Caenorhabditis elegans: one gene and its partner. The protein of the gene in region 1 interacts with the protein of each later gene in a pairwise test. Each region holds a gene or a part of one and is shown on either strand. Other genes may lie near its edges.

The links.
Region 2: the proteins of K08B5.2 (region 1) and end-3 interact in a two-hybrid assay, tested with the Caenorhabditis elegans proteins (one large-scale study listed by BioGRID).

The regions. Positions count from the first base shown.
Region 1 is NC_003284.9:16,549,877-16,557,009, reverse strand, and holds K08B5.2 (F-box domain-containing protein), read left to right. Parts: upstream 1-3,122; 5' UTR 3,123-3,133; coding exon 3,134-3,211; intron 3,212-4,202; coding exon 4,203-4,349; intron 4,350-4,417; coding exon 4,418-4,507; intron 4,508-4,575; coding exon 4,576-4,732; intron 4,733-4,931; coding exon 4,932-5,080; intron 5,081-5,140; coding exon 5,141-5,274; intron 5,275-5,426; exon of another isoform or gene 5,427-5,501; intron 5,502-5,622; coding exon 5,623-5,779; 3' UTR 5,780-5,843; downstream 5,844-7,133. Other genes in the region: Intraflagellar transport protein osm-1, read right to left, coding at 5,864-5,963, 6,044-6,258.
Region 2 is NC_003283.11:14,011,557-14,017,388, reverse strand, and holds end-3 (GATA-type domain-containing protein), read right to left. Parts: upstream 2,695-5,832; 5' UTR 2,689-2,694; coding exon 2,433-2,688; intron 2,378-2,432; coding exon 2,288-2,377; intron 2,241-2,287; coding exon 1,985-2,240; intron 1,666-1,984; coding exon 1,539-1,665; 3' UTR 1,412-1,538; downstream 1-1,411. Other genes in the region: srh-308 (Serpentine Receptor, class H), read left to right, coding at 1-131, 645-838, 889-1,192, 1,236-1,411; aip-1 (AN1-type domain-containing protein), read right to left, coding at 3,949-4,050, 4,102-4,159, 4,207-4,427, 4,485-4,559, 4,607-4,701, 4,753-4,810; ddx-17 (RNA helicase), read left to right, coding at 5,573-5,589, 5,640-5,832.

The DNA of each region.
Region 1 (7,133 bases):
AGCAAAAGGAGATGAAGCTGACATCCATCCGTCCGAGGGGATAGGAAAAGTGATAGATCTTGCCGCCTGGTGGCCAGCAGCATACTATCATGGGCATCACTACTATGGATTCTGATAGCGGAGAGATCTTATCAGAAAAAAATAACGAAAAGTGCAAAAGGGAAAATAACAGATTTGGATTTTGTTTCCCAATTTCCTGATTTCCCAAGATTTTCCCCGATATTAAATTTTAACATTAAAGAAACATGAAAAACCAATGTTTTCCAACAGACTATCAATCACCAGCTGTCAAAAAATAAGGAAAGTGATCGTTTGGCACGTTTTATAGTAGCCGTTTGTACGCCCATCTTTTTTTCTCTCAGTTTCTCGACTCACTTAACTGGTTACTGTAGCAATTATGACTTTGAAGGATGTAGAGACACACGACCAGCCAATCCAAGAAACATAAGATGAACACTAGTTCCAGTAGTTGTGATGGCGGGAAGGATTATGGTCAGGGGGATAGGGGGGAAGTTTTGGTTAGTTGGTGCGAAATAGGTGCACATTATCCCTCTATTCAGTACTGTAGTACTGTCATGTCATTCTACAGAGATTTAGATGACAGGAGACGAGTGGAGTATGAGTGGAATATCGCAGACCTCAACTGATGTCGGCTGCTCAGAGGGCAGAGTAAAGCTACAAGCAACAAAATATACTGTGGAATATGACTAATTTCTCATAGGAATAAGGAAAAATAACGAAAAAGGCATTATATTTTTTGATTACAAATCCTATAGGGCTAAAATGGCAGCCGTAAAAAAATAATAATTCCCCAATGAGTAAATAATTTTAGGTATTACGTCTGCCTTTTCAATTAAAAAAATACATCCTAAAAAATATCACATAAATTTTGCTCGCATTTTTGTTTTGTATTTCTTCATTCACATCTCAACATTTGAATTTTTCCCGCTACGTTACAGTTTTAGTATTACAACAAGTACACACTCACAGTTCATTGCCAAAGAAAAGGGGTAAAATATATGAAGGAAATGAGATAACATCTGACTTTGAAATTATCCATTCGCTGAGTAATTCGTCTCTTATCTGCTTTATCTGTCTTTCAAGGTGAGTGACCAAATCGTTTTCACTTTCAGACAACCTCGCCCCCCGACACCGTTTCACTTTTCCATCAATTCTCTGAAACAGTTACTTGTTGCTAACGATTCGAGAGTTTAAATTCGGGTCTTTTGAAGTGTATCCTTAATTTTTACGTAATTAGGCACTAGAAAACATACCGATTATCTTCTATTAATATGGCCTCCCTATTAGACTTGCACTCCCTTTTAGTATTGCCCCTCGGAGACCTTCCGAAAATTAGTATTGCACTCCCTATTAGTCTTGCACTCTCTAATAGTCTTGCGTTAACTTTTTTGTATTGCAAACCCGTCTCGCTAATTTCAGGATTTCAACAACATTTTTTGCCTATTTTCCAACAGTTTTCACATCATTTCTACGAGATTGAAGTTTTTGAACTTATATGAAAATCAAATTTTCTGAATTTTTACATATGATTCGCGTTTTTTTCAGGAAAAAACTAGTAAGCTCAAAGTCAGAAAATGTTCTGAAAATTAGTATTGCACTCCCTAATAGTCTTGCACTCCCTATTAGTATTGCAAGCGGGAAGACCATCGAAAAATAGTATTGCAGCCATATCAATAGAAGAAATCTATATTCTTCTGTCAGATTTTTGAGCTCAATTCCAAAACTGTTCATTGTGAGAATAGAAGTTTTGCTCCGAAAGAGTCTTTTCAGTGGATTTATTTCTTTTAGGTACTTTTTCAAAAATAAATTACAGTTACTTTTTTTCATGAGCTTTACCCCAAATCGTTCAACATTTTCCAAGATTCACCGTGACCGACTGTTTGAGCTTTGGAACGATATTTTAAAATTCCACCTGAACATTGTATTTTGATGTCGTTTTGTATAGGAATAAATGCAAATGTCATTGGAAATAATTTTTGCGGTATATATTTGAAAGGTTTTTAACGCCGAATTTTTTACTACTTTATTAGACTTGAAATTTTCTCAAAACACCTAATTTCATAATGAAATTTCTCGAAAACTTCTCAAAAAAATAGTTATGGCGGCTCAAAAAATTACATAAAATTAGTTAAAATTTGAAATTTGACCTACTTGTCAAGATAATTAACTTGTATATTTAAAATTAAAAAGCGATTTCAAAAAATTAGTTTCAAACCGCTGCGACATACAAGTCGGCCAAATTTCAAATTCTTATTAGTTTTAGGTCGTTTTTTGAGCTGCCATAACTTTTTTTCGAGGCGTATTTTCAAAAAGTTTCATTATGAAAAATCGGTGTTTTCAGACAATTTCGAGTCTCATAAAGTAATAAAAAAAATTGACTACACCACCTTTTATATCTACTTGAACTTTCTGAAAATATGACAAAAAACGAGCTTGAAAAACATTTTAGTATCACAAATGAGGAAACTTAAATTTATTTCAGTCTCAAGCACTCAAGTCAATCATAAGACTGGAAACAATTTATTCTAAACTACTCTAGGTATGTGGAAAAATTGTTTAGAATATGTAAAATGCTTTTAGATCCTACTTTACCAAATTTCTTCTCTTTTACTATAATTTCTTATCAATGACAACAAAACCAAGATCACAGAAACAACGTGCTCTTTGTGTTGTTATCTTTCACTTGTCTCTGTTAACCTACCTCGAGAACACATATCAATAGATCGTTTCTTCATATTCTCTATTTGCTCTCAACTCTCTTCCGTCAATCAGATGCCTGTCAACAAACTTTCCACCTTTTGTTTACTGCTCTATCCTCCTTAAGCCTGCAACCTGCCAATTTGCATATAATCCAATTGGACTCATAACTATAATTGTTCTTGGGTGCTTCCATCATTGCCATGTTATATTAGTTTCCTCCTGCGTTTCTTGTGCTCAATGCTCATTTTTTCTTAACCTATCTGCGTCTCTGTCAGCTGATGAATTCTGTCGTATCTTCTTCACTTGTCCATTGCTCCATTTTCTCACCATCTTCTTTTTTTAACCAATTTATTTTTTTTTGTTGGTTTTCATCATGTCTTAACGTGGTGGTCATATTTCAGAAAATTTGGATATGGAGCACTTACCAAATGAAGTAAAAGTTATAATTCTAGATGAGTGTGACTACACGGATTGCATTTGTTTTAGAGCTGTGAGTTTTTAATGTTTTTTTAATTGAAAAGTAATGATTTTTAGAATTTGTATTTCATGAGTAACGCAAAATTTAGTATTAAAAATTTTTTAAGTTCACATTATAATTTAAACATTTTTGCAAATTAAATCCTTAAATCAAATTATTATTATTTTTATTAAAATAAATTTTTTTTTCTTAATAAACTTCGACGATTTAAAAAATGAGAAAAATGTAAAACAAAGCAGTAATTAAAATAAATGAAATTCCGGCGGCACAGCCAAGTGAATAAAATCTCAAAAATTGTATCTTAATAAAAAAAAACTTTGCTCTCCTATTTGAAATTTCGAGAAGCCCCATTATCAAATTATACATTTTCGGAGCTAATTTCTGCCCATTAAAGATGAAGTAAGGAGTATATGATACCAAAAAAGCTTTTTCTCATGACATAAGTCTTCAAATAAATCAGTTTAAAAGCAAAAACCGTCAGTGCCGCAGCGGCCTAAAGTTTTATTTTGATTGGCACTCATTAGTCCATAATTATTTTTTTAATCATGTTTGAGCAAACATGAAAAGTATAACCGTAGTTATAAAAAATAACTCCGGTGATGAAGTCATTTTGGCAAAACACCAAATTGTAGCTGAAATTGCTCATTTTCAAGACTGGAAATTTTCAACATTTCTGACTGTAAAATTCGGTTTTTTTGGGCCAAAAAGGCCAAAGGCTGTGATATTAGTAGATTACCTTCAGAGTGAAAAAAAACCCTAGAGTATTATGTAATGAAATGTATTTCTATTTCGAGCATACTTTGGGAATTATTTTTTCTTTCTATTTGAGAATTCGTGTTTTTAACTTGCAACAAAAAGTGTCTCAAAAAAAATCACAGAAAATTTCGTAGAAACTCGGGAGATATCAGATTACATTGTGTCGTCATACTTTTTCTTGGTCTGAAATTCGATCTTATCTTTCACTCAATCTCATTTTCAACTTTCACCCGCCACTTCTTTGCAGACATCAAGCAAAAACTACGACGTCGGAACCTATGTGCTTACCAAGACGAGAACTTTCGATTTCCGGCTGTATCGTTCTCATATTGGAATGCAAAGTCTTGAAAATGAGAAGACGACAAAAAATGGAAGCCATTTCAATCCAACGAAGGTGATAAATCACTTTCCATCATTACACACACGCTGCTAAATGTTTTTGTTTCTTATCACTTATTTCAGATGATCAATTTCATGGATCTTTTACCCGGTTTACGGAAACTAGTGCTTGCTGACTTACCGTGTATTTTCACGATGAGTGATATGATAAAAGTGAGACGGGGGGGGGGGGGGGGGTTCTCGAGATTTTTAACAAAAAAAGAGAAAACGAAAAATTTCAGTTGGGAAAGTCTCTGCCAAATCTGCAAAAATGTGTGATCATCGAGAGTGAAGAGCGGAAATGGATGGGGAAGGATGTGCTCATGGGGCTGACTTACTTCAAATCGCTAGAAAAATTGAAAGTGGTTAATTGGGAACCGTCACATGTTACAAGAAGAGGTTGGTTTTTGTAAGGAAATAATAAAAATAGATATCGTGAAGTTATAATTCGGAACATTTATATGCTAATGGATATTACACTAAAAAGCCAATTTGTGTCCAACCTTTGTAACTATGTAGAGAGATTATCAAAAAAATATACTCGAAATTTTTCTCTGAAATCACTTCTACGTTTTTCAATAACACCGTTCATTTCCAGGTTGTGCTTCGCGAAACGAGACCATCCCAGCGAGTACTCTCCGAAACTTGATCAACTTCACAATCATCTGCAATAAGGAGACAGTGTCCAAAGTTTTACAATATTTACTCGAGAACGAAATTTATTTGACAAAATGTGTCAAGGCCAAAGTAAGTTCGACTACAAAGTTTGTGAAATTTCAATGCAATTCATCATCTTCGCAATTCCAGTTTAACGTACGTCTGTCCTCGCCGGATATTCCCCATCTTATCATGAAGTTCATCGAATGCCACCCACACATTCAAGAGATTGCTTTCAACGGGTTTCTTTTCACAACACAAGAGCAAGTGCAGGCTTTTTACGGGTAAGGGGCCACAATATTGGCACGTGCAAAAACTTTTGGGATATGAGAATTTATCTTGTTTTATGACACAGTACAATTAGTAGTACAATTAATAGAAAGTAAAATATAGTACAATTAATAAAAACTCTTTAAACAAAAAAGTAAAAAAGAAATGCCCCGAACCAGGATCGAACTGGTGACCTTACGATCTTCAGTCGTACGCTCTCCCAACTGAGCTATCGAGGCACATGGGTTGACCACCGACGCTAGCCTTTACAAGGGGGAAGTGTGCACGCTTTAGGGCTATTTCGTCGTTTTTTGATAAAAATTTTGCGCTGGGCTAAAAAACGTGTATAAATCAATTTCCAGGCACCTTCTTGCACTACCACAACTTGAAAGAGTTCAACTGGAGAACTGTTCAGTTATTGAAAGGATTGAGCAGGCTCTACAAAAAACCTTCTTGGACGCTTTACGACGGCGAGGAATTAGGTTCACAAATCTGGTTAAGAGCTTACGACATGGGTAAAAAAATTACATAATTATATATATATACACTGTTTATTTTGCTCAAAAATAAAATGATTGTCATTCAAGTTTTGGTGATGGCGCATCACAACGAAATAGCCAACGGCGATCCAGCCCACTTCGCAACAAAATTTTGCACATTCAGTAGGTTCTCCGTCTGATTTGACTTGATCACAACGAGAAACCTGAAATAGAAAACACTATGGAGGTTAGGATACTGTATATGAATTGATTGTCGATCGAAAACCATCAAAAATCAACGTACTTGTTCAAATTGTCCTTTTCGGCGACCATACTTCCAATGCGAACTGTACTCTCAATGACCGGATAGCCAGTTACTAGACACGGTTCGGCCGTACCTCTCTTATCTTTAAGGGAAGCTTCGAAGACTCCTCGCTTATCATATACTAGCTCTTTTGCGTGAGCATCATCGACTGATGAGGCAAGAACCCATTCTTTCATTTCCTCGTGTTTGGCGCTCTGGAAAATAAAATGTTGTGATCATGAGACTACATGTGGACTACAGTTTGAAAGTGTGACCACCAAGTTGCACGGAAATGTATGTACGTCCAAGAAAATAATTTATGGGCAGAGAACGGTTTTTAAATGAATATTCTCATGTGATAATACTTAATCAAAACATAATTTTTTATAGGAAGTAGTAAGACGGGTTCCGAACTGACATGCTATTCTCACCATCGATTAAAGAAATAATAGGGATTGCGAAAAAATTACTGACACTTTTAGATGTAAACGGGAAAATTTTTGTTAATAATCAATAAGCTGCTCCGAAACAACACCAGCCTAAATTGATATTTAATTTGCGGTATAATTGCTTCACTTTTTAGTGGAATTTGTTTAGACTGTAAACGCGTTTTAAACTTTTTTCAGAACATATTTTCATAGAAAGCCCCAAAATACGATTTTATAGAAATTTTTTGAAACAATCTGAAAGCTTTATGAAAAGGATATCTAGGCTCTGTTCAAAATTGAATTCCTCCAATAAAACGTTCGTAATTAACTATTCTTAACATAAGAATTCAGAACAGGGGTATGCGGCAAATTTGCCGAATTTGCCGAATTTGCCGTTTGCCGAGCTTGACAAATTTGCCAAATTCGCCAAGCACGGCAAATTTCAAAAAACGTAGATTTGCTAAATTTGCCGAGCTCGACAAAATTCGAAATTTGCCGCACACATCAAAAATTTTACAATACAATTTTGATCAAAACTATTGATTTTGCCTTCAAAAATTCAGTAAAATGATACAGAATAGTTATTTTGATGTTCAAGCAGATACACCATCTTATTCAGAAATCATATGTGTGGTAAGAATTCAGTAGTCTTGGTGCTCCAA
Region 2 (5,832 bases), on another chromosome or scaffold:
TTTATATCTAAGCTTTATTGCATCTCCAATGCTAACACTACCTGTCAGTTCAGGATATCCTCTTGGATTCTCTTTAATATTAGGTATTCCAACTGATGTTCAGGTTTATCTTGGATGTGTTTTTGTTGGGGGTTAGTTTATTTTGAATTGGCTAACTAATGGTAATAGTATAATAAATATAAAACGTCTTATTGAAAACAGAAGCTTTATTATGTTTTCAGTTTCGATATGAATTAATCTAATCTCAATAACAAATTATTTGATTCCCAATTTTTTTGTGATGTCTTTGGCTTTTTATTTAAAGAAAACTTCGTGCCAAATTTTGGCAACGCACCTTTGACAACTTTCTGTCCAATTTCGGCAGTTTTCTGTCGAACCTTTGTAACTTCCGAGAGTGAGTAAGTTGTCAAGGTTTGAGAGAAAAATCCCAGAATTTTACAGTAGGTTGTCTAAGTTTGACCAAAAGTTTCCAAAGTTTGGCAGAAGATTGACTAAGTTTGTTGGAAGGTTGGACAGAGAACTGCCAAAGTTTGACAGCAAGTTCCCCAAGTTACGAATTTAATGTTTACTCTAGGGTTTTCAAGCTACTATTCCTTTTTAAATTATTCAATTTGAGAGGAACCGAACAATTCAATATATTTCAGTGATGTGCGTGGCTGTAACCATATTCTTCGAAGATCGCTATCACCGACTAATACATGGGCATACAACAAACGGATCACTGAACTGGAAACGTACCTTATATGTTGTATTAAATTATACTATATCAGTGACGTTTATTATTCCCGCATATTTAAAACTACCGAATCCTGAAGTAGCAAAGCAATATGTGAAAAATGTGAGTTTTCGTTTTTTTTTTGAAAGCTTTAACCAAAAAGTGAATTACAGATAAATCCATGTATTCCAAATGAAGTTCTCAATCGTCGGGAATATTTTGTATTTGCCACTGATAATACAATAGTCAATGCCTGTCTTTTGAGCATGTTCTTCATATGTCTTCCCCAAAAATTGTATTTTCTCGGAGCAATTTTTCGATACTTTTCCCAAACAGTGTCTCTCTCGGCAACTACTGCTCGCTTACAAAAGCAATTCTTCTATTCAATGTGTATTCAAATATTTATTCCAGTTGCATTCATCTCATTACCAGTTTCATATTTTGTCATGGCTTCGGAAAATGATTACTATAATCAAGGTAAAATTAAGCTGAAATTTGAAAAAAAAAATCATTTTTCCAGCTGCCACAAACATTGCGATGATTGCAATTGCATGTCATGGAGTTCTTTCCACTATAGTCATGCTTATTGTTCACACTCCACACAGGAAATCAATTCTTGCAACACTACATTTCAAATCTGAACAAGCTGTTCGAAATTCACAATTGATCTGGAAAACTGTAGTATCAAGAGCATGAAGTTTTTTTATTTATTTATTATGGAAACCAGCAGAGGGGAAATAAAACAAATAGTTAAATTATAACCGAAAGGTCATGTTTGATTAGAAAAATAATAATGCTTATTGCACAGAGTTGATCAGTTAAATCAAAAATTAAAAGCATTAGAGTCAACAAGTGGAGCAACTGGACGGCGTCTTCTCTTGGCAGCTGGCTTATTCCAAAGATGTTGTGGTCTTTTATGTCCTTTGACTCGTTCGTAAAGATTACACGGACTGAAAAATATGAGATTTAAAAAACTCAAGTTCAAAACTTTTACACCTAGAGAGCCCTCAAAAAATAGTGAAAAAAATTTCCACCAATTTTTTTTTGAAAATCGTCGATCAAAAAACAGACAATGCTTTGAATTTCTCGATAAGTGGTTAAAAAAAGAGTTTTTACTACTTTTCGACATGAATAAAACATTTCAAAAAGATGATAAAAAGTTTCATTGCGGTATCTGGTAACTTTATCAGCATAGGAATGATTTTTAAACATTTTCTCACTGACTGTAATCGTAATTTAAATAGAACATTCAAAATAATTCAAACTTACTTGCACTCAGTTTCTCCTTGCTCATTTCTCCTCCACAATTTCGTTTCCCGACATCCACAATTGGAGCACGAAGAGTTGATATGCATTGTGGAAATCTTCTTGATTTTATTTTTCGAAGCTTTTCTAGCTGGCTTCCATTCTTGAACTTCTTGAGCTGGAAAAAAGTTGAAGCCCCCGTCAATTGGTATCTCTGGCATGGAATTTTCATTGTTGTCGGGATTGGTGTGGTTGATGGAAGTTTGAGATTGCTGGAGGTCTAAAATAAATTTAAGATTAGGCTGTAAGTTTCATAGTTAATTATACCATTAATAGGCGTCGTGAATTCAAATTGATTTGTAAAATCAAAATTTTGAACTGGAAATTGAAAATCAGGCATCTGTTGATAGTTTTCATCTGAAACATTAATTTTAAATATAAAAGTAAAATAAAATAGTTTTTTAAAACTCACTGTAGTATCCTGCACCATTATCTGGTTGCATAAAATTCTGTTGCATTGAATTGTCATAGCCTCCATTGTATGAATTTGTCGTCATATCTTGTGCCGGATAATGATGATAATTCATATTCTGGAGGACATCTGGAGATGGTGTCCCGTAGCCTTCTTCATTGAATTGGACTTGTTCGGGAAACTGAGGGAATCCAAAATCAAAAGACATTGGTGAGTTGGAAGATGAAGATGATGAAGAGAATGAGTTCGAGTACATGTTTATACTTTGAATGAGAATGCCTATTCATTTATCTTGGAGCAAATCATGGTAAGAAGAGGGCGTGCCTCAGCGTTCCGTATACTTTTCAGCAACCGCCTTTTTCTAGAAGAGACACAAGGCGGGGTGTGCTTTGAACGTGGTATACTTTCAGCTATTCATCTAACCGATTATACAATCAGTGTATACTCTTTTGTCGGAGCCATCGGAACACTTGGAACATACTTGTTTGGTATACTTTTACTTCTTTTTTAATTTACCGTGGGCTCTCTCAAATAGAAGTGCATCTCGGATTTAAACTAAAAGTATTTGTTTCATAAATTTTACTTCAATAAAATTTCCATTTTAAACACAAATTATCATTCGGAAAGAAGTTTTTCACGTGCGAGAGTGAAAGAGTAGAGAGAAAAAGAGGGAATTTGAAACACGTGAAATTTAGAGAGGTTCTGATAGGGGAACAATTAAATTAAAATACACGTTTGCATTTTAAAAGATCACATGAATAATACCATAACACGTTGCTCTTGTTTTTTATTTTTCCAAAAACTCGATTCTCTCCAAATCCAATCATTCACAATTTTAACGGAACAAAATTTTTTGTAATTGCTGAAAGAGAAAACTGATCCAAATTAATTGAATATTTATTAGATAAAGTTGTGTAAAGCTCGACATGCTTGTATTTTCTTCTTCTTTTTCTGTTCAATTCTCAACCAACAAATATTTTTGGTAGTTGAGAAATCTGCGTCAAATTACCGCTATTCCCGTAGATCTACGAAGATCAAACCGATATGGGACACTCTGACACCACGTGGGATATACTGTAGAAACTGCAAAAATTAATTGGCGACAGTACTATTTAAAGGAACACACGCCTTTGCGCGAAATATTTTTTGTTCGCGTCGAGACCTACACAGTGAGTCTCACCTTTGAGCCAAAAGATGCATTTCTCAAAATTAGGTAAAAAATGTTTGAAAAGTCCAAATTTCGTTTCAGTCAAAAGTTTGCAAAACTCTTATTTTACTTTGTGAACCCCAGAACACCCATTAACAACAGTTCAAAGCAGGTGAACAATTTCATATATCAAGAAAAAAGAAAAAGTATTCAACATTGTACAAAGAATCAATATTTTAGTAGGACTGAAGTTGGCGAAGTGAAATGAATAAAAGTTTTGACACGGATATGAACTAGAACAAGGTTGAAGAGAAATGCAAATTGTACAGAAAATATGAGAAGGGAAATAAATATACACTAAATTGGATGCTATGAGACGGTGCAGTTGGAATTGGAATTTCTTGTTTGATGCGGCGGTGCAACTCGATTGTATTCTTCTTGTTGTAGAGAACGAGCCAGAGCTTCATCTCCCTGGAAACATTTGTGATTTAGTTAGTTGTTTTTTTGAAAATAGATACAAACCTCTGTTCTTGCTTGTGCGGAACATGGATTCATTCGGGAACGCGCGATTGATGTGATTCTGGAAAAATACCTTGAAATTCGATTTATTCAAAACAATAAACTTACGAATCCGTCCAGCTCTTTTTCTGATTTATCTTCATTTCGCCAACTTTTCGCTCACAACTGTGATCCCGCTCGTGTCTGTGAGAAAGGCAGTAGTTGTTTCGACATTTTGAGCAATTCATGGCTACCAGCTCTTTCTTCTTGCATTTTGGGACGGTACACGCGTTTGAATATACTTTTGCACGTTTCGGAGTCTGACAATTGTTCTGAATGTGCTCATTGACCTGAAAAAGAAACAATTTTTATCAATATTTTTGCAGGAATAATTTCAAAATAATTACTTGTTGATCAACATTGACATCTTTCGGCGTTGGAACTGGCTTCTCACATATAGGACAAATAGGAACTTGAACGGACTGAAATTTAATAATTTTAATCTAAAAAAAGATTTTCAAACACTTACAATTCTTGAGCCAGTCGGACAATTATGAGCCTCAAATGTGAAGTGCTCTGAGCAGTAGAAATGTCCACAACCGGAGCATTTGATTGGAAGAAAATCTGAAATAATTATTTTTTTATTTAATTAATTTTTTTTAAATGTTGACTTACCAAGTCTGTTGCAAACTGTGCTCTCACAGTGCTTTCCGAGATTTGGGAACTCCGCCATAGCTGAATAAAGCAAACGATATTGATAGGAAACGAGAGAATATAGACTTTTAAACACAAGAAATGATGACAATTGGAAAAATTCTAGAATTTACCAGAAATGCCAGACATCGGGTTACGAAATTATTGATTTTTATATATTATTGAAAGCTTTTGGACTTTTTAGAACGAGAAAAAATTGAATAATTCAATTTCAAGATTTTTGAAATCAATATCAGCTGATTCGCTAGAAAACGTGACGCTTTCAGTATTTCGTGACGTCACTGCGTACAGCTGGATTAAAGGCGCATGACATTAAACGTGCGGTGGGTCTCACAGCGAAACCGCTTTGCACCTCCTTCTCCCGCTTTTTTTGATTTTCGTCTCTCGCATTTGTCCCAAAACCTTTCATCTTTTTCTGTTTTTTCTTTCTAAATTCGATTTTTCGAACGATTTAAAAGTTGTTTTTCCCATTATTTTTCCCCCTTCTTGCACGGTGTGACGCAAAATACTCACTTGGTTATTTTGGCCCCACTTGTGTTTTATAGGGTAAAACAACCGAATTTCGTCGAAAATTTGGGTCTCTTCAATCCGTCCGTTCTCGTTTGCTACTCGTTTTCTCAGCGCTGCGAATCAATTTAAAACTTGTAATTCGTCAGCGCGTGCTTCTGTATCAAAGGAAGACGAGCCAAACGAGAGGTCTACTAATCGAAGTCGATATTTATTTTCGCAGCAGCCGTTGCACGACCAGAAGTTCGCATTTCAAACTCATATAAAAAAGACAATGGGAGACAGAGGATAGTAAGTTGACTTATCGATTATTGACGTGCATAATTGTTTTTCTTTTTCAGCGGAGGTTCTAGAAGCTATGGAGGAAGCAGCGGTGGTGGATCCCGCGGAGGATATGGAGGTGGAGGCCGTGGTGGCGGCGGCGGAGGATACAGCGGTGGTCGTGGTGGTGGATATGGAGGAGGTGGCGGTGGAGGCTACGGAGGAGGTGGTTATGGCGGCGGTGGCCGTGGAGGAGGTCGTGGAGGATCCAAT